3 linked regions of the Drosophila melanogaster genome follow. The protein of the gene in region 3 purifies or fractionates together with the protein of the main gene of each other region. This does not show direct contact. Each region holds a gene or a part of one and is shown on either strand. Other genes may lie near its edges. The genes, in order: Tdrd3, Su(var)2-HP2 and vig.

What was found.
Region 1: the proteins of vig (region 3) and Tdrd3 purify together in Drosophila melanogaster (affinity purification with western blotting; one study listed by BioGRID). This does not show direct contact.
Region 2: the proteins of vig (region 3) and Su(var)2-HP2 purify together in Drosophila melanogaster (affinity purification with western blotting, with the first as the bait; one study listed by BioGRID). This does not show direct contact.

What each region holds. Positions count from the first base shown.
Region 1 is NT_037436.4:14,785,078-14,790,516, forward strand, and holds Tdrd3 (tudor domain containing 3), read left to right. Parts: upstream 1-1,713; 5' UTR 1,714-1,769; coding exon 1,770-1,804; intron 1,805-1,856; coding exon 1,857-1,941; intron 1,942-2,015; coding exon 2,016-4,136; intron 4,137-4,241; coding exon 4,242-4,511; 3' UTR 4,512-4,588; downstream 4,589-5,439. Other genes in the region: bmm (brummer), read right to left, coding at 842-1,001.
Region 2 is NT_033778.4:14,614,798-14,619,691, reverse strand, and holds the start of Su(var)2-HP2 (Su(var)2-HP2), read left to right. Parts: upstream 1-1,573; 5' UTR 1,574-1,825; coding exon 1,826-1,874; intron 1,875-1,946; coding exon 1,947-2,264; intron 2,265-2,331; coding exon 2,332-2,646; intron 2,647-2,705; coding exon 2,706-2,849; intron 2,850-2,930; coding exon 2,931-3,182; intron 3,183-3,291; coding exon 3,292-4,894. Other genes in the region: Sec61beta (Sec61 beta subunit), read right to left, coding at 371-458, 522-733, 790-792.
Region 3 is NT_033779.5:15,064,242-15,072,446, reverse strand, and holds the start of vig (vasa intronic gene), read left to right. Parts: upstream 1-2,130; 5' UTR 2,131-2,301; intron 2,302-2,350; coding exon of another isoform or gene 2,351-3,413; intron 3,414-3,576; coding exon of another isoform or gene 3,577-3,964; intron 3,965-4,017; coding exon of another isoform or gene 4,018-4,041; exon of another isoform or gene 4,042-4,065; intron 4,066-4,368; exon of another isoform or gene 4,369-4,531; intron 4,532-4,757; 5' UTR 4,758-4,819; coding exon 4,820-5,510; intron 5,511-6,990; coding exon 6,991-7,257; intron 7,258-7,498; coding exon 7,499-8,013; 3' UTR 8,014-8,205. Other genes in the region: vas (vasa), read right to left, coding at 1-109, 3,577-3,964, 4,018-4,041; solo (sisters on the loose), read right to left, coding at 404-2,024, 2,351-3,413, 3,577-3,964, 4,018-4,041.

The sequences.
Region 1 (5,439 bases), on a different chromosome or scaffold from region 3:
TGTGAGTGATTTTATCTTCAATTTAGATTTATAAAGTTTCTGGCTAATCTCATAGCATAAGTATTTAGTTTATTCTCTTTGCAAAAGTATTTGATGAAATGTTTTCGGACTGCGTTGCTATTCATATACCCACCGCTGTGCCCAACCATTTGCCCATATATTCGGGTGCCGCTTTACAAAAGTGCGTTGTCCCGGGCATACGAAACTTGTTTTTCTGTTTTCGTAAGGTTTTTCAACTGCGCCGCAGTTTTCTTTTGAGCGGATGGGACGAGCCCCCTTCGAAATTGGACAAACACGCCCAAAAACACACACACACTATCGCAGTCAATTATGAAAGATCCCCATTGACTTCCTAGCGACCTACAAACGCAAACAAGCTTATCAATAAAATTCAATTCAATGCGTTTTATATTGAGCCTCGCAGCATCTTTCGCGCTCTCCCACTCCCACTCGCTCTCTTTCTCACTCCCACTCACAGAGTCACTGAACTGCCCAGTGTGGTTGCTTTTGCACTCAGCTGTTTTGCGAACGCAAGTGTGAGTGTGTTCGTGTGTGTGCATTCTGCACGAAGAGGGGAGAGCAGTAGAGAAAACACCAGAGGGGTGCAGAAAATATTCACAGGGGTTTTCCCAAGCAGAAAACATTGTGCAAAGGCCAAGTTCAGACGCGGAGTGTGAAAAGAAACAAGAAACTTAACAAATTAAGATTTATGCAAAGCAAAATAAAAAATTTATTTTTGTTTCGCCTTGGAGAATCGCTATCATATAGTTGGCAGATCTTAATGATTCCGAAAGCTTCCCTCTCTAGACCCACCCATGTAAGCAAGTGGGAAGAGACTTACCCAATGGCAAATCGCAGAGGAGACAGCAGGCGGCCAGGGAACCGGCCGAAGCGCCTCCGATCTTCTCCAGCAACAGATGCGGTGCATACTTCTTGAAGCAGACGGCCACTCCGACGTGGTAGATGCCCAGGAATCCGCAGCCAGCGAATGATAGATTCATGCTTTGGACTCGGCGTTAGATTCTATAAATCGTTCGATGACTGTTTGTTGTTGTTGCTACTGCGTCACTGGTTTTTTCTCTCTTTAAGGTATTTTCTCGCACTTTCTTCGCGGATTTTAGTCGTTGCAGCTCCTTTGATGTAACAATTTCTTGTCGCGTTTCGAAATAAATCTCGTTTGGGTTTTCAATCACTGTTTGTCGGTCGGCTGGAAAAATTACTCCGCTCTCGAAATGAAAAGTTGTTGCTCGCGAACCGTTATTTACTCGCTCTGCGGATGGCAGCCCCCTTTTATACATTCATTGCGGCGCGGTGTGACCGCATTTTATTCGCTTTACCACCTAAACTAGAACTGTCATTAGAGTGGCTGTGCGTATAGGGTACTCTTTTGTTTGTTCTAAACATGTAGATATTACGACTTTAAATCGATTTATAATGCCAATTCTTTATAACTGATAAAATTTAATTATCGATATATAAGTACATCTATCAAAAATATATATGCTAGTATATGTGTTGCACCCAATTTTGACATTATCTCTTGGGACATAATATATATATTATATTTAATTTGAATAAGTGTGCAAGAAATATTAAAATTTTTAGATTTTAAGAAAGCATTTAATATTACTAAACAACCTAAACTTAAACGATAATAGTATGCACCGTCAGCCGATAGTTGCCGCCAAGCACATCACTAGCGAGTACACACATCTAATACTTTTGTCATCCCTAGTCCGGAGTTGCAAAAAAATCGTCTTCATGAAAAAATGGAATTAGGCAAGAAACTACGAGAAGTCGGGTGGTAAGTACAATTTTAAATTGTGGCATACAATGCTTCTTAACGATTTACGCAGGTACCTGACAGAGGAGGGCCTTAAAATCGTGACAACAGCCGTCGGCAGCGAGGATGTCCGGAAAATAGTCAATGATGCACTGAATGTGAGTTGTAGGCGAACCGGCTGCTCAGCATTCTGTGTAATTATTAATTATAACCTATTACTCACACTTTGCAGCGAGATCTGCGCGATATTGGCGGTGGCGCACTGCCCGCGAAACGCGAAGATGCCACTTTGCCCGGTAAAATTGTGCTGCAGGTTCAGCGTGTGCGAAATATTGCCGCTCCCAAGGCGAATGAGGAATCGAAGGCGGCGCCACGCCTCCTTCAGTTGGATCTGAGTGATGGGCAGAATTCCATAAAGGCCTTGGAGCTGGAGCCAGTTCCCCAACTGAATCTCAATGTGGCTCCCGGAAGCAAGATCTATTTCAAGGCCGAGAAACTGCAGCTTATGCAGGGATTCCTGCTGCTAAAGTCCAGTGAAATTCAGCTGCTCGGCGGCCGTGTGGATGCACTCTACGAGAAATGGGATCTGGCCAGGACCATGATGAGATATGCGCGCAGTGGGCGCCCCTTGAATGGGACATCAGCGCCACCCCCGTGGGTGGCATTTGGCCGAAAAATCGATAGCAACGCCGAAAGCGAAATGAACTTTAAGAGCCTGGGCGAGGGCGACAAGGACAAGCCGGCAAAGGAGAACGAAGAGTTCAATGCCATGCGCACAGAGGCCATTGCCGTGGCCACCAAGGCCGGCGGCAAGAAGATCTTTGGCGGCGGTGGCCAGAACATTATCGATCACAATGTTAAGAAGATCCTAGACAAGGGCTTCAGCGAGGAGGAGGCCCGCAGTGCCTTATCTGCTACCCGAAACAACTTGGAGCGCGCCCTATACAATCTAAAAAGACGCAGTGAAGCTGGCGGTGTGGGTCCGATCGAATCCGTGGGTCGTCCGGGACGCGGAGATCGTCCGCCCAGAGAGGGAAAGCGTGGAGCTAGCGCCAAGGACGAAGTTGAAGCACCCAAGCCGGCTGCCAACACCACGCTGTTTGATTTCCTAACCAATAAACTGCCCGCCAAGGAAACACCGGCCGCTAGTAATGCAGAAACCTTCGCTGCCGCTCCAACTGCCGCTCCGACTGCCCCACCCACTACCAATCACTTCAATCCATTTAAGCAATATGGAAGCTCGCGCTTCAGCGATTCCGAGAGCAAACCTTCAGCTATGGGCGGAGGCGGCAAGTTTGCAGATCGTTCTAGGTTTGAGAACAACGTATCGAGCAGCTTTGCCGCACATCGTGGTGGACATGTGGGTTCGTCGCGAGGCGGTGGCCGTAACCGGGGTGGCGGCAGGGACGAAAGGCCACCAAGAGAGGAGCGAGCCTACAGGGAAGACAGGCCTCCGAGGGAAGAAAAACCGCCGAAAGAGGAGAGACCACCGCGAGAGCGAGGAGCGTTCAATGATCGTGCAGCTGGACGTTACAAACCAGAAACGCCAACCGTAAAAACCGCAAATCGCAATGGCTCGGATAACGTATCGTTGAAACCGAATTCCGAGATTAAGCCAGATCATGAAACAACCAATGGGAAGGACCACACTGGCAACCGACGTGGCAGCGAACGAGGCAGCAATCGTGGAGGCTCCAATCGAGCAGAGAACGGCAACGCCAATGGCAACAGACGAAACAAGCCGGCAGCAAGCTTAACTTCGGCGAGTTCTGCAGCGAAATCGACAAATAGTGCTGGCGATGATTTCAACGCCCGTTTGAGTAAGATAACCGAGGAAACAGCTAATCTCAAGGTGAGCAGTGCGCCAAAGCGAGAGAATCGACGTAAGCAAGGAGGACAAGCCAATCGCCTGGCGGGATCGGGCACAGAAACAACGCAGCAGCAGCAGCCAGCACAGTTGCATTCGCAGAAGCCAGAGAAGGCTCAAACCAACCAAAAGCATCACAATCCCAGGCACAATTCGCAGGCGAACTACAGTCAATTGGCGAATGGCTACACTTACGATCCCAGCAAGATCATGGGTTTCCAGAGCAAGGAGGCCAACGAGTTTGCCATGAACCTTCTAAAGAGCCAGGGTGTTACACTGCCCAACGAAAAACAACAGGAGGAGGAACAGCAGGAATCGCCACCCATGTCCTTTGGCCCCGTTTCCGCTCCTGTTTCCCGTGCGCAACCTGCTCCAGTGGCTGTGCCACAGGCTGCGCCACGGGATCAGTTCGGCATGGTGCCAGGCGATGCGTGGATGTGGCAGAAGGGCGACTTGTGCATGGCCAAGTATTGGGACGATGGAAGGGTGAGTTTAGGTCGATAAACTGAAAGTACATTCGTAATTGTAGTAGGACAAAGTATTCAAATTGATCTATTGAACTTAACTTATCATTCCTTCTTTATTTTCCAGTATTATGAGGCTGAGATCACGGGCGTGTCGGAGAAAACTTGCGTGGTCTTCTTTATGGGCTATGGAAACCATGAGGAGGTATTGAAGGTCGACATCCTGCCCATCACCGATGCCCAAAACAGGCCACTGAGCAACTCAGCGCAGCAGCAGCAACCGCATCTGCAGCAACAGCAACCGCATCTACAGCAGCAGCAACATTCACGCTACCGCGGAGATCGTCAGACGCAGCAGCAGCAAGTCTACGTGCCGCCCCACAAACGAGAGCATTGAGACAACATGGTAACAGCCTGTTAACAACGTATTTAAATCAATTAACATGTTTCGAATAAACAACTTTACAGAATATTAAAACTATGAGTACGTATTTTGTAATCTGCTGACTTTCATATAATTTAAAGCGTACTGTTGATTACGTCTTACCTATTAAGTGAATATATCTCCTATAACGTGAAAAATTGAATTAAGCAAAGTTTTATTTAATAATTTAGTAATTAACATTTCTTTGTAAACATTATTCGAATTCGATTAATTCCTGGCGCAGTACTATCGATTGTCCCTGATTTCTGCGCGACATGTTCAGCACTATTTCGCGCCGCTGCTCAGCACTGGTGCATTTCGCGAATTTTCCCTCATACATACATAACTTATTTTTAACATTTTTCGACGTGATGTGCATTTTCTCTCATAGTTTTGTGCTTAACCATGTAAAATAGAATTAGTCCGTAGTGTACAAACAATAGGATTTAGTGCAAAGGTAACGCAAAAAGAGTGCAAAAGCCCGAAATGTACGCACAAATTGGCCAGCAAGTGTACAGCTGGCTGGCTGACTTGCCATAAACGCGCTGGAAAGGGTTCAGCGCAGTAAATTTTGCTTGCTGAGCATGCAAAACGATTAACGAGCCGTATAAATAACTGACTAATCAGATAAAAGTGCAATGCGGTCATATGCATGTATTGTGCGCATATATTTTCATATGATGGCAAAATCATCGTGTAGTACATGCGCCAGTGTTGTCAAGTTCGCATGCGGTGTTGCAAAGCGACGGTTGTCGATATTCGTGCAATGTTTTGTGCCGATTTTATTGAGCAATTAACATGGCATTAAAATAAACGAAATTAAATTATTATTGCCCGTCATTAAATGTGTTGCATGTGTCACTTCTTAAATACTGGAAAATATGATTGATCCCACCATTCA
Region 2 (4,894 bases), on a different chromosome or scaffold from region 3:
GCACACATTTGTTTAATACAAAATTTATTTGTTCTTAACACTTTTCGTTGAATGTCTTACAAGTTCTTGAATTGCAACGGCTGCGCGCGGAATTTCTGATGCACATGACCACGATAAATTGTGGAATGAATTCTCAGCCCGCCGGATGAACGAACGGATTGGGGGAAAACGATTAAATTTTGAAAATATGCATTACGTTTAAACAGGTTTTTAACTTAAGCTTAGGTATAATTAATTTCATGTGGAAACACACCAATGCCTCAACAAGCGGAATGGATCTCTTCTTATCTCGCCGCAAAAGAAATGATGACGTCGACATTGTTCACGCTCGTTGAGGTGAAAGTATTTTATTGGCTACGAAATGCATGGCTTAAGAACGATTGTATTTGCCCCAAATGTGCAGCATGAAGACGGAAGCGATGAAGAGCAGCGACATGACCAGCACGGGTACGGGACCACTGCAGCAAAAGTCTCATTAGCACTGGGCCTTTAATATAAATATAGCCGAGTTATTCACTTACACTTTGATACCGGGCGAGTCGTCCGTGTAGAAACGCCACATGCCACCAGTTCCGGCTCCGCCGGGTGCACGGCTCCGGGCCGCTGTGGTGCTGGTGGTGGTCTTGCGCTGCTTCAGGGTGCTGCCGCCTCCGGATCCGGCGCTACGTGGCGCCGACAATTTGCTGGGGGAGCGCGATCCGCTGCCCACGGACGTTGAACTGGCTGGAGCGGGCTGGCAAATGTGTTTTAATTAGTTGCCGCACTCAATTGCCATCTAGTTTAACTCACCATTTTGGGCTATCTGTTCCTCTGGACCGACTGACCTGGAAAATATGAACGGGCGAAGTGGAATCTGAACGTGAATCTGAATCTGACGTGCTCGGCTTCGTGTCGCTTCGTCTTTTTTCGTTCCACGTCACTTTGGTGGTGGCACCGCTGCCGATAGGTCGTGACGCTGAGGTGACAGCTATCGTGCACTTAGACAGCTGGAGATGACAGGCTAAGGCAACTCAACTATCGGCTGCTTTGGCTCTAAAATGAACTAGTAAAAAAAAAACGAAGAAATAATATATTCAAGTTATGAATTTAATAGATAACAATAATAGATAAAATATTAATTCTACAAAATGAATTGTTTAAATCAATTTGAATGAATCCTATTAATATAATTGGCTATTATTAAAACTCCGATAATAAATGCTATTATTCTTGATTTCCCTTGATTTAATTATATAATACATACTTAATAACTATATAATTATATAGAATAAAAACTTAATCACGCATTTAATAGATCATATAGATATAGAATATATAGAAAATCAATGAAATCGATTTTGATAGCGATAATGTGCAACCTTGCATGTAAGTTATTTTTAGATTTTAGCTGGGCAAGCGCAATTTTCTTGGCGCGCACCAAACAATTTGTAAATAATATTTTTGCTTAACTGGTATTGGTTCGACTGCGAATCACTAAAAATTATTAAGTGACTTAAGCACCGTGTTTTAAACATTGTTAATCGGAACGGCCACACCGAAGCGCGGGCTCACTAAACGCTTTTGTCATTTTTGCACATCTGTACAACGTTCACGTTAATTGCAGCGGCATCATCTTTGCTGGATTTCAAAGGAATATTTTGCGGTGAAAAGAACGAAAAAGTGCTTGCATTTGTGCGCTAATGGGTATATGAGGTCCTTCTGCTAAAGGAATGCCAAGTCATACAAACTTTTCGCGATTCGCCTTAATGGAAATAGATAAGACGCGGCGCAGTTGAAAGATTGCAAATTGATCCACCGATCGACCGACGCACATGAAAAGTGAAGTATGGAGGACATTGAATATTTAGACGAGTACAAAGACTTGGTGCTGCCAGGTGCGTGATTTCAGCTTCCAATGCTATAAATACTTCTAATGTGATTTGTCTGTCTACTTTGCGCGCGCACAGGGATTAAATCGAGTGCTCCGACAGCATCTTCTGCCGGCGTTCCGCGGCAGCGGCGCATTTCATCAGACTCGAGCAACTCGTCGTCGATTGATGCGGACATTTTCCAAAAGCTCTTCCATGGCAAGTACCTCGACGACGAACTGCTTAAGGAGGGCTCTGGCTCGAAGTCGCAGGACAGGCGTCGACGCCCCCCATCTCCCTCCTCCAGCGACGAGTCCAACGATGCCTTGGAAGCCCTCTTCTGCGGGAAGAGCAGCCAGTCAAAGCTGAGCAAGAGGCGCGAACGGTATGAGTCGTTCGATTCGGTGGACGACCTAGGTGGGCATTTCGCAATGGTTTCAATGACGCATTTTATCAATAACATTTACTTTATGCCTACACTTAGGAGAAGCCCTAATGCGTCCATCGCACAGGCTGACCGTACCCAAGCCCAGTACCTCTCAGGCAGGTTCCAAAAAGTCACAAGATGCTGCCCCACACAGAAGCATTAGCAATAGCAGCAGCAGCAACATTGCCATGTCATCTGGGCAAACTTATGCATGTCCAAAAAACAAGAAAACCAATTCTGTGGCCAACAAGACAGCAGTATCTGCAAATGGTGATAAATGGGCTTCCGGCAAAAACAAGACCGTTACCATTGTAAAGCCCCAAAAAACAGATCTAAGGCCTTCGCGGCTTGAACCCAAAACAGATCCATTAAGTAAGTTCGATATTGTGCTACATATCTGGCTGTGCATAACCACTTCGTATTTTCCATAGATTTGGGTGACTTATACGGGGACTCTGACAGCGATTCGTCCTATGAGTATGAATCGGACTTTTACGGCGATCAAGACTCCGATGAAGAGGATGAGCCGGTGATCGACATTTCAACGGACACAAGCAGGACCACATCGGTGGCGGGTAAGTCAGCGTTATTAACTAGTTGATACTGCCAACCCTCTGATAATATTCATAATATGTAAACACACATAAACCGTGTAGACACTGTGACACCTGTTGTTTCCGACGACGAGGGCCAGGAGCCGCAGAGTGAGCTGAATCAGCGTCATGCGAATGATCAGGAGTCTTTTTTGAGCAGCACCTACGAACGCCTGCAGTCGTATTTGAGTAATCTCAGTTCCGCCGAGCCGCCGCCAATCTATAAGAAACAGAATAGTGCGAGAAAATCCCGCTCCAACGAAAAGAAACCCTCTTCTTCCCAACAGGTTAAGCATGCTAATGAGCAATCAGCGGGTAAGTGTGCACCAACGTCCATTGGGGCGTCCATTTCTGAGCGCCCTCGTGAACCCTTACCTCTGCTACACCCTTACATTTGTAACTTTTTCTGCTTTTTGTTTCGCAGCCAGTGACAAAGAGGCTAATAAAAAGGAGCGGGATTTGGAGCCACCGGAGGCGAGCAGCAGTGCGAAATCCTCGGCCAGCAAGGCTAGCGGTAGTCGCAAGCTGTATGACGTAGCTAATAATGCTACGCTTGAGGCTGTGGAGCGCATGAGTCTCGACCTGGCCGAGCAAATCATGGAGATCGATGTGGAGCGATCTTACGAGTTCGAAAAGCGGTCTGCCTCAAAGTCGCGTAGCTTATCCAGATCTAAGATTCCAGCAGATTCTAGCACCTCGCAATTGGGTCACGTGCGAAAGCTAACCTATTCGAGCGAAAGACTGGATCAACCGGAACCTTTGGGCACCCAGTTGCGTCGGTCGAAGAGCGAGTCCTTACCAAAGCGAGGTCGCCCTCGTGGCCAAAAGCAGCGTAAGAACCGTGGAGCAACCATGGAGGAAAAAAGTGCTAATTGCCGGGATGGGGAAGGAGAGCCAGTCAAAAGAAAACGCGGAAGGCCTCGCAAAATTATTCCAAAGGAGGAGGCTAAAACAGCAGAGACTGAAAATACAATTGAAAGCTTGAACACAAATGTTCCTCTCTCAATAGATACGAGCAAAGAAAATCCGGAAACGGAGACGGTTAATTTAGAAGTGCCAATAAAACAGGATGAACTAGTTAGCGATTTGGACAATGCCAAGGAGCTCACAGGATCTACCAATTTACCCCAGGATGATATTGAAATGGCGTCAAATCACCAAGAAACGGATCTTAAATGTGCTCCGGACAGGGTTGCGCTGGATAAGTCTGAGTCCACGCCAAAGGTCGAAGAAGAACAGCTTTGTAAAGTGGACACACCTAGTGATACTGCACTGGACGAAAGCAAAGTATCCGAAAGTGCAAAAAATCATATTGAATTGGAAGATAAGGATAAGGATAAGGAGGAAACTCAGAAGGAATCTCCCAATGGCAATTCGAAGGAAACCAATGAAAACTCGGTTATAGTTACTAATGAAGTTGAATTACCAGCTAAAAAGGCTGAAGCCAAGGCAGAAGCGGGAAATATTGTTGAGGAAAGCGACTCCCAACTTGCTGAGGATTTTAAATTGGCTGAAGAGATCTTAGCCGCTGAGGTTGGTAAGGGAGTTGAAGCCAACGAGGTATCAGTGACATCTGTGCAGGGAGAACAAAATCCAGTCATTGAAATTGTTAAAGAGTTAGAGCAAGAAACCATTTCGGAAGTCGTGCCCGCTCAGAATGATCAATCTTCAGTCGAAGACCAAACTTTAGCTGATAAAGAAAATCCAGTGGAAAAACCGTCTCCAGTTAAGGCACCATCCTCTAGTAAGGATGAACCACCTGCAGAAGAAAACTTGCCTGCTCCTGACCAGGATCCAATTGAACAACAGAAAACACCTGTAGCAAAAAATCAACAGCATGACAAAGAACACAATGAAGCTCCCAAAGCCGAATCTTTGTCTGTTTCTGATATTCCGTCTAGCTCAGTCACTCCATCCAAGAAACGAAATCATTCCTCCCCAGCTAATACCCCCAAGAAATCGAAAGAAATTGAAGCTTTGCAAAGTTCGGTGCCGCGAAGAGCGCTTAGGTCTGATAAAGCAACTCC
Region 3 (8,205 bases):
CCACCGTCCCCTCTTTCACCACGTTCACCGCCGCGTTCCTCCCGATCTAGTCTTCCACGACGTTCACCGCCGCGTTCCTCCCGATCTAGTCTTCCACGACGTTCATCACCTAGAAAATATTTGATTTTCATAACAATTTTATTCACTTAAATTTAAGCAGACGAAATACAGTTCATAAAAATTCATAACCAAAACTAAAATTCATTTTTAAATTGTGTATTTTATTTTAATACTGTTTCTGTACCAATTTATTAGCTAATCACGGACAATATAACAATTTAATGTCAACGAATAATAAGAAATGGCGATGATTCTAATACCACGTTCAACTTTATTAAATTATTTAAGCAAACTAATATTAAATTTTTTTTGTATTTTTAAAATTAAAATGCTTTTTATTTGATTAGAGCAGCCCGAAAAATCTACCATCCGAGCTAAGACTTATAATATTTGCAGTCTTAAGCTCGAGTAAAAAGCGATATGCCATCAACGCATCCTTGCGATTTCGGATGAATGGTGCATTGTGCATATCAACCTGGGACTGTCTGATAAGAGCACCGAAGAGCCCATGAACTACTCTCATCTTATCCTTCTGAATGTTCTGAATTATACGTGGATCGTAGACTTTGACAGCGGGCATTGTACTAAAATTTAGCGCGCCTTGGCTATTTTCCTTAAAAGGCCCCAGGGAGCTGACCTGTGCCCCTAGTTCCTCTTGACGATCTACCATCAGACGAACCACATTAGCGTGTTGTGAAATATATGCCAAATCGTTCATGGACACTCGATATAGTTGATTTTGCATTGATGTTCTGCGGTCACTTGGCGTTTGCAAATCATTTGTTGATGTCGATGGGGCGATATTTACTGCATTGTCTGTAATATTGGTGCTAACAAGATTCAAAGAATTGAGTTGCAACGACGGTAGTATCTGTATATCAGTCACATAAGCGTGATCGCTCATATTGGCCAAAGTGTTTGATACCTCCAGTGGAACTTCGTCGACTTCCATTGGCATTGGTGGAACCGATGTATTCATCATATTAGAGATGTCCATTTTTTGGGGTTTAATTTCAATTTCGGTTTTAGGTCCGAAAACAGCAATTGGATGCTGACCTATTGGAGTGGAATTTATGGGAGGCAGTAAGGCCAAAGCTTGATCAAATGATGCTTGGTCACTTGATGCATTTCCAGATATCTCCAAGGGAGCTACTACAGGAAGATCTTGAGAGAACGCTGCAGATTGCATACAAGCCCCAGAATCCGAATACCCTGTTGCCTGTGCAACTTCTAGGGAGGTCGTCGTTGCTTCTGTGGTCGGTGGTACCTCCTCTTGTAGTACATTTCGGGTGATATGGACTGATGTCGTTATTTCTTTCACTGAACGGGTTACTGCCAGACCTGAAGACGTCGTCACTTCTCCAGCTGCATTTTGTAGCAAGCTGGACATAAAAGTGGCTGCAATATGTCGGCTGCTTTGGAAGGCTTCCTCGCGACGGACAATTCGTTCCGGTGTTAGTTGCGGGCTGGCAGCTGAAGCGATACGATTACGTCGTCTGCGTGTACGCGAGCGACGACGCGCCCTTTGTGTTTGGCGAGGAGGTGGACCTTCGGCATAGTTAACCATTTCATCACGTGGTCGGAAAATCGAGCCCCACTCACGTTGCTCGCTTAGTGTTGTCTCTTCCGGCGGGAAAGCAACACTCATTTGCAGCTCGCGTGACACCCTGGTAAAGCGTAGATGATGCTCTTCGTCAATGACCGGCAGTCTAGGTCGGAATGATAGTAAAGGTGTTGATGCTGGAGGGCCTCCAAGCCGAGAACGAACCACTGTTGATCCTGGATGTCCGACTAAGCGGGTTTCATCCGCATCAGCTGGTACCACCAAAGTGTTGCTATCCATTTCTAACCCCAATGAATGCTCTGCTGGCAGTGATGGAGCCAACGGTGTCGATGCAGCGCCGCCTGCTGCCAATGATGGTATGGTCCCATCTTCGTAAGTCAAATTGGGTATAAAAGACAAGCTGTGAAACGGACATTACTTAGCTTATGTGTTCATTTAAGTTATAGAGAAGGAAACGAAAGTAAGCGAAGAGATGGAAAATATGTACATATAGAAAAGTAAGCTGAATTTATACTGCATTAAGGTACTTCTCTAATCAAATTTCCTATAAATTGTTTCGGTGTCTGGCTAAATTTGGTGTTTTTTTTTTTCTTTTATGTAATCTTTAAATGTTTGAAATCTGCTCTTTTCTACACAACCGCTCATTGGAAAAAGGGAATAAAAAGTATCCATAGATGGTAAGAAAGAAAAGCGCTAGACTAGACTAGTTAGAGTTGGTTTAAGTACCCTGGATCGCTCCTATGTTCATTTGGGGTGCTCGAAGCACGCAGAGCCACAACTCTGCCGGGGACTCCGGTTGCGGAGCAGGGAGTCTCCTCATCTCCAGTTGCATTGTAGCGACTAACGTAAATTCCATCTGGCGTTTCCTGATTTTGCGACCGCTGATGTCGTGCCAAGTTTACCATACTGCTGAGCTGACCACTACTCGAATTGTTTGGCTCGCTCGCAACAGTGGCTATTATGCGTGTCCTAATTAAGGGCTGAGAATAAAATATGCCTTTTTGATGGACCGTCGAAATGTGCTGCTTTGGAGACTCTGGCCAGTCATAAGATTGAAAAACCATATGCGGACTGCCAAAACGTACGGCCCTTATTTCATGCCGAGTGACAAAGTTCTCACTTAGCCAGTGCAGAAATCTAGTCACTCCATATGTTGATCCATCCACTTGATTATTTTCTGGGTGTTCTCGGTCTTCTGTTGGAATAGAATCTTCTCTCAATGCTCCTTGATTATCATCATACAGCCGTCGACCCGTTTGGTAACCTCGATCCAAAACCTGATGATACACGGCGTATGCGGCGCTTTGTATTTCGGTTAAGTCATCGCCATCGGTTAAACCTCCTGATCGACCGCCCTCAGTACCGCTTGTCCTGTTTGTTTGTCCATCTCTGATCTCCGAAGATTGCGGCATCACAACTTGCTGTAAATTCCTCCATTGCGACAAATCAGCTCTGCAATCCGCATCAATGCTTTGAAATCCCATCCCAATCCCATTTGCTTCCTCATGTTCACCTTCACGAATCAATCGGCCCATGTCCTCCATAAGGCGATTCATCATATCTGTTGTTTCGCGTATCTGATGTGCCTTTTGTGCACGCTTTTCTTGAGCTAATTTCTCGAGAGAAGCCCATGCTTGGTTCACCAAAGCCTTAAATGCAGTCAGCAAGTAGTCACGCAATTTTCGAATCAGTGCTAGGCTGGTCGTGTACTTGCTCAAGTCCAGCTGATCGATGAATGCGCCCACCTCATCCTTATCGCAGCTAGATGGGATCGGCGGCAGTTCCTTAGCTAGAATGTTGGCCAATTTGCCACCAATTGGGCAAATATGCATACACAAAACAAAAGAAAACAAACTACTTGACAAAACAAAGCACACCACATGGAATTCAGCAGGAATGACTCAAATGACCATAACCCAAAATTTAACATGTCGTCCAAAAGGTTTACTCACCATCCTCGTTTTCGTACAGCCGACCGCGGAAGCCGCCTTCTCCACCACGGAAGCCGCCTTGTCCCCCGCGGGAGCCGCCTTGTCCACCGCGGGAGCCGCCTTGTCCACCGCGGAAGCCGCCTTCTCCACCGCGGAAGTCCCTTTCTCCCTCGCGACGTCCACCGTGGAAGCCCCCTCCATCTCGATTTCCTCCTCGATAACCTCCAGCTCCTCCTCCTCTGCCTCCGCCGATCCTTCCGAACACATCTCGATTTCCTCCTTGGTAGCCGCCGCCTTCACCACCGCTCCCTCCAACACCATCGCCTTCAGCTTCGCCGCTGAAGCTCTTGGCCGTGTCCTCATCATCGCTCCAATCTCCACCGCGGGCGCCGCGAGTATCAACAATGGGCTAAAATAGATAGGCTTAGTAAGCATATATTCTTTGTACGAAGCAATACGAACCTCATCATCCCAGTCGTCAGACATATTGATATTTTTTTTTTAATTTGGCTGAAAGAAAAAAAAATTAATTCTATATAAGTATAAAAGCAATAACTTAATACGTTCATTTCTAAAGTATTGAATTATGAATTCTTATAATATATGCTCCAACATTTTGTACCAATTTATATAATTTGCTCAATTTTTCACATATTCTCCAACTAATGAAATTGGCTTGCACTTCAAACTAAAAAGTGCCCGCCAAATCGAGAGCCCGCTAAACACAGCTGCCATTCGAATCGATTTGCGACATTCGCCGCGAAACGCGTTGAAAAACGTGAGTTTCTGTTTTTCTATGTATACCAAGAACACATGTGGGCGCTCTGTTCGTGCTGACTGTGGTGTGCGTGATTTGGCCCATGTGCGTGTGGAATCGCGTGAGGCAGTGTGTGTAGGTAATACTAGCAGCGAGGCGAAGAAGAAACACTGAAAATTAAGGTTAGAGAGCAGCAGCCACCAAACAGCCAGCAGAAAAGTAAGAAAAATCCACCCAAAGGGCCTAAATAAATTGAGTAAATTCACGTTAGTCCACGTGTTAATGTCGTAAACCATAAATCCAGCGAATATATGCCATATTAGACCATAGTTTGTGACACGAAAAAGAAATCCTATCGAATCTCACAGGGTGTGAGAGGCGGCGGGCGAAAAAGGAAAATCAATCAATTCCCACTAAAACTGTGTGTATTTATTTCTTTTTACAGAGCAAAAAGGCAATTAAAGCGGCAGCCAGCTAGCAACGAAAAACACACCCACCCACAAAATCATGGACAGCGCCGGTAAAAATCGTTATGAACTTTTGTTCATGGACGACGATGTCAGCGATCCATTAGATAATCTTGTGGCGCCGACGGCCGCTGCTGCCGCAGCAGCAGCTGGCAAGAAGAAGCAACCGTCAGCTGCTGCTGCAGCGGCCACCAAAACGACCGCCAACAAGGTGGCCAACAGCAATAACAAGGCGAACGCAGGATCCAATATTGGTGGACCCAATGCCAAGAAACCAAATCAGGCCGAAAAGGAGAACAAGCCCAATAATGCGTTAAACAAAACCGATGGCAAGAAGTTCACTCCATCGGCCGACAACAAACAGCAGCAGTTCAATAATAACGCCAGCAGCAATTACAAACAACAGGGTGCTCCACGGCAAGGAGGTGGCGCCAACCGAACACGTGAATTTGGTAGCGGTCAAGGACAGGGTCAAGGACAAGGTGGCCAGCAGCAGCGCAGCGTAAACTTCCGTCAACAGAATGGCAATGCCGAGACTCGTGAGCAGCGCAACAATCGCCGCAATGTCCGCGAAAACGTCGGAGCACCCGATGGCCAGCAGTCGCGACCTTACCGCGGACCAGGTGGAGGCCCAGGTGCTGGCGGAGATCGTCCCCAGCGTCAGAACCGCAACTACGATGGCCAGAACAGGAAGCGCGAGTTCGACCGCCAGTCGGGTTCCGATAGAACTGGTGAGTGTGTGGTCATTTCATTAAGGCATTAAGGTACCAAATGGGTTAGGGGTCAAGTCAAGTAGATACAGTGTAGATCACATTAAAGTCTTTACAGAGAAGTATACTTAGTAAAAAGGATAGAGAAGATGGGATATTTAGGGAGTAAATCGTTTAGATTAATGACCATTTTTTCGCATATGAATAGTTAATGTTTCTGTTGATAAGATCGAAACTAAAGTTGAACCACCAAGGGGTAGACATAACCATAAAACGAGCGCGCCCATACGAAAAAATTAACAAATAAACCAAAAGCCACACTCCATGACAACCAGAAAATAAAACTCAGCAGGCAACGCAGGAAAAACAAATTCCATCCACAGTTTACGCGTAACCAATTACCATGTTTATAGTCATGAGAAATTATTAGTCGCCTTCAAGCAACATGATTCCAATCTTCTGTGTACACAACAAATATTTAAAAGAAACTGGAATTCGTTCGGTGTTTGAAATGCGATTCCTTTTAATAAACTATGTGAAATTTCCATCAATTGATTTAAGATTTCTATAGCTAATCTAAATCATGAATTTAATGTATTTCAAAGTATAAAATATTTATTAGCCTGCTCCGAGCAGATTGCCAATCTTATTTAATGGATAGTAATATTTAAACAGTTGCATTATAAATCAGTTTAAATATATATTGTTTATGCCAAGCAATTTCACGAAAAGTGCGGGAGAACGGTGTAAACCAATTTGTGGCACACAAAATCCCGATGAACTTATGGGCAATGGTCAAACAACACAGGCAAATCTCCCACTCACGTGGGGGATAAGTGAGTCAAATCAATACTAATGGTCGGACAGAACATTCAACAAGCTACATCACACTTCTTTCCATTGAATGAAATCTATTTCGCCGCGTTTTCCCCCGTTTTCCACTGCCTGCTTAGACCGACCGCTTCGTTTTTGGAATATCCAAAATTATAATATCACAGCGGCCGGCAGCAACAGAAACAAGAAGCACTGCGGCACAAATCGAAAGAGAAAATGTGTTAAAAATAGTTCGCCCATCTTCTTGGCGGCATTCCCGTCTAACGCAAGTGCTTGTAGGAGGCCTTTGCAGGCATAATCATTGGGGGGAAACAGGGGTTGGAATAGTTCCCCCACTGAATCTGATTACAGTGAACTGGGGCTGCTACTGTCGGCTTATCTGTGACTATGCGAGCGAGGGCAGTGAATATAGTCCCCCTATCGTGGTTACTTCTCAATTGACCTAATTAGTGGGGTATTGATAAAATAGACCATTATTTGGCTAATAATTAAAGTATTCAGTTAATAAATTAAGCAGAAAAACTTACTTTAGGGCTTGCAGGCAAGTTGCACTATAGCTGTGGCTAAAATTTGCAAATATAGAAGCTCAGATTTTCCGCTTCTTGACGTTTCTGAATTTAAGCAGACATAAATCATTATTAATATTTGATACTTTCTTTATGCACAGGTGTGAAGTCAATTGACAAACGCGATGGAGCTGGCTCCCACAACTGGGGATCGGTCAAGGAGGCTATTGATGATGTGAACAAGAACGAAAGCGAAACCAATGTGACCAATGCCGAGGGCGGCGCCAAGGCCGATGAATCTGGCACTGAACCACAAAACGAGCAGGCTACCGCCGAGGAGGAAGCCAAAGAGCTGACCTTGGACGAGTGGAAGGCACAGCAAGGACAGCGCATCAAGCCAACCTTTAATATCCGCAAGGCTGGAGAAGGTGCGTGAACAATGCATAATTTTTTTATGGTTAATAATTTGAATTCGATACCACGGAATGATAGTTTAACTTCCGTTATTCTAAGAAACCTTTTCGCCAAGCCAACAACCAAAGTTACAAATCATATTGAGCTAAAATCCGTATAAAAGAAGTATAAAATTGAAAATCAAACCGATCTTAGCTTAACTCTAAATGATGGCCTATCATCTAGAAATTAATCTACAATCAATATTTCCCGCAGGTGAGGACACCACACAATGGAAGAAAATGGTCGTCCTAACTAGCAACAAGAAGAAGGAGAACGACAGCGAAGAGGAGCTCGAGTACGACCCTGCCCTTTATCCACAGCGTGTGGGCAGGCAACAGCGCGTCCTGGACATTCAGTTCAATTTCAACGATGGTCGTCGTGGCGGACCTGGCGGTTTCGGTGGACGCGGTGGCCGTGGAGGCCCCAGACCCGGTGGATTTGGAGGCGGACCACGCAGCGAGGGTGGCAACCGCGATGGCGGCAATCGTGAGGGCGGCCGAGATAATCGTGAGGGTGGAAACCGTGGCCCACGGGATGGCCAGCAGCATAATAACGAGGGCGGCGGTTCATCCGCTCAAAATCAAAGGCCACCCATCGATCGTCGCGGTCCGGGAAACAACCAGAACAACAATCAGAACAGCGGTCCAGGGCCGAATAAGCGTTTTGAGCGACAACAGAACACCGCTCCCAAGGTCAACGATGAGCGTCAGTTTCCCACTCTGGCTTAAATCGATCGTTTTGGGCAGGAGTAGGTTCCTCAAATTGCAGTTTTGGTTACTGACGATGGTGAATGAAAGCAGCAAGTTACCAAAATGAAAACTTATAAATTACGTATATCACAGACAACAAACTTTTTAAAAACTAAAAGAAAAATGGGGAAATTACGAAAACAATTGTAGCCGCCATTATAAGCCAAAAGC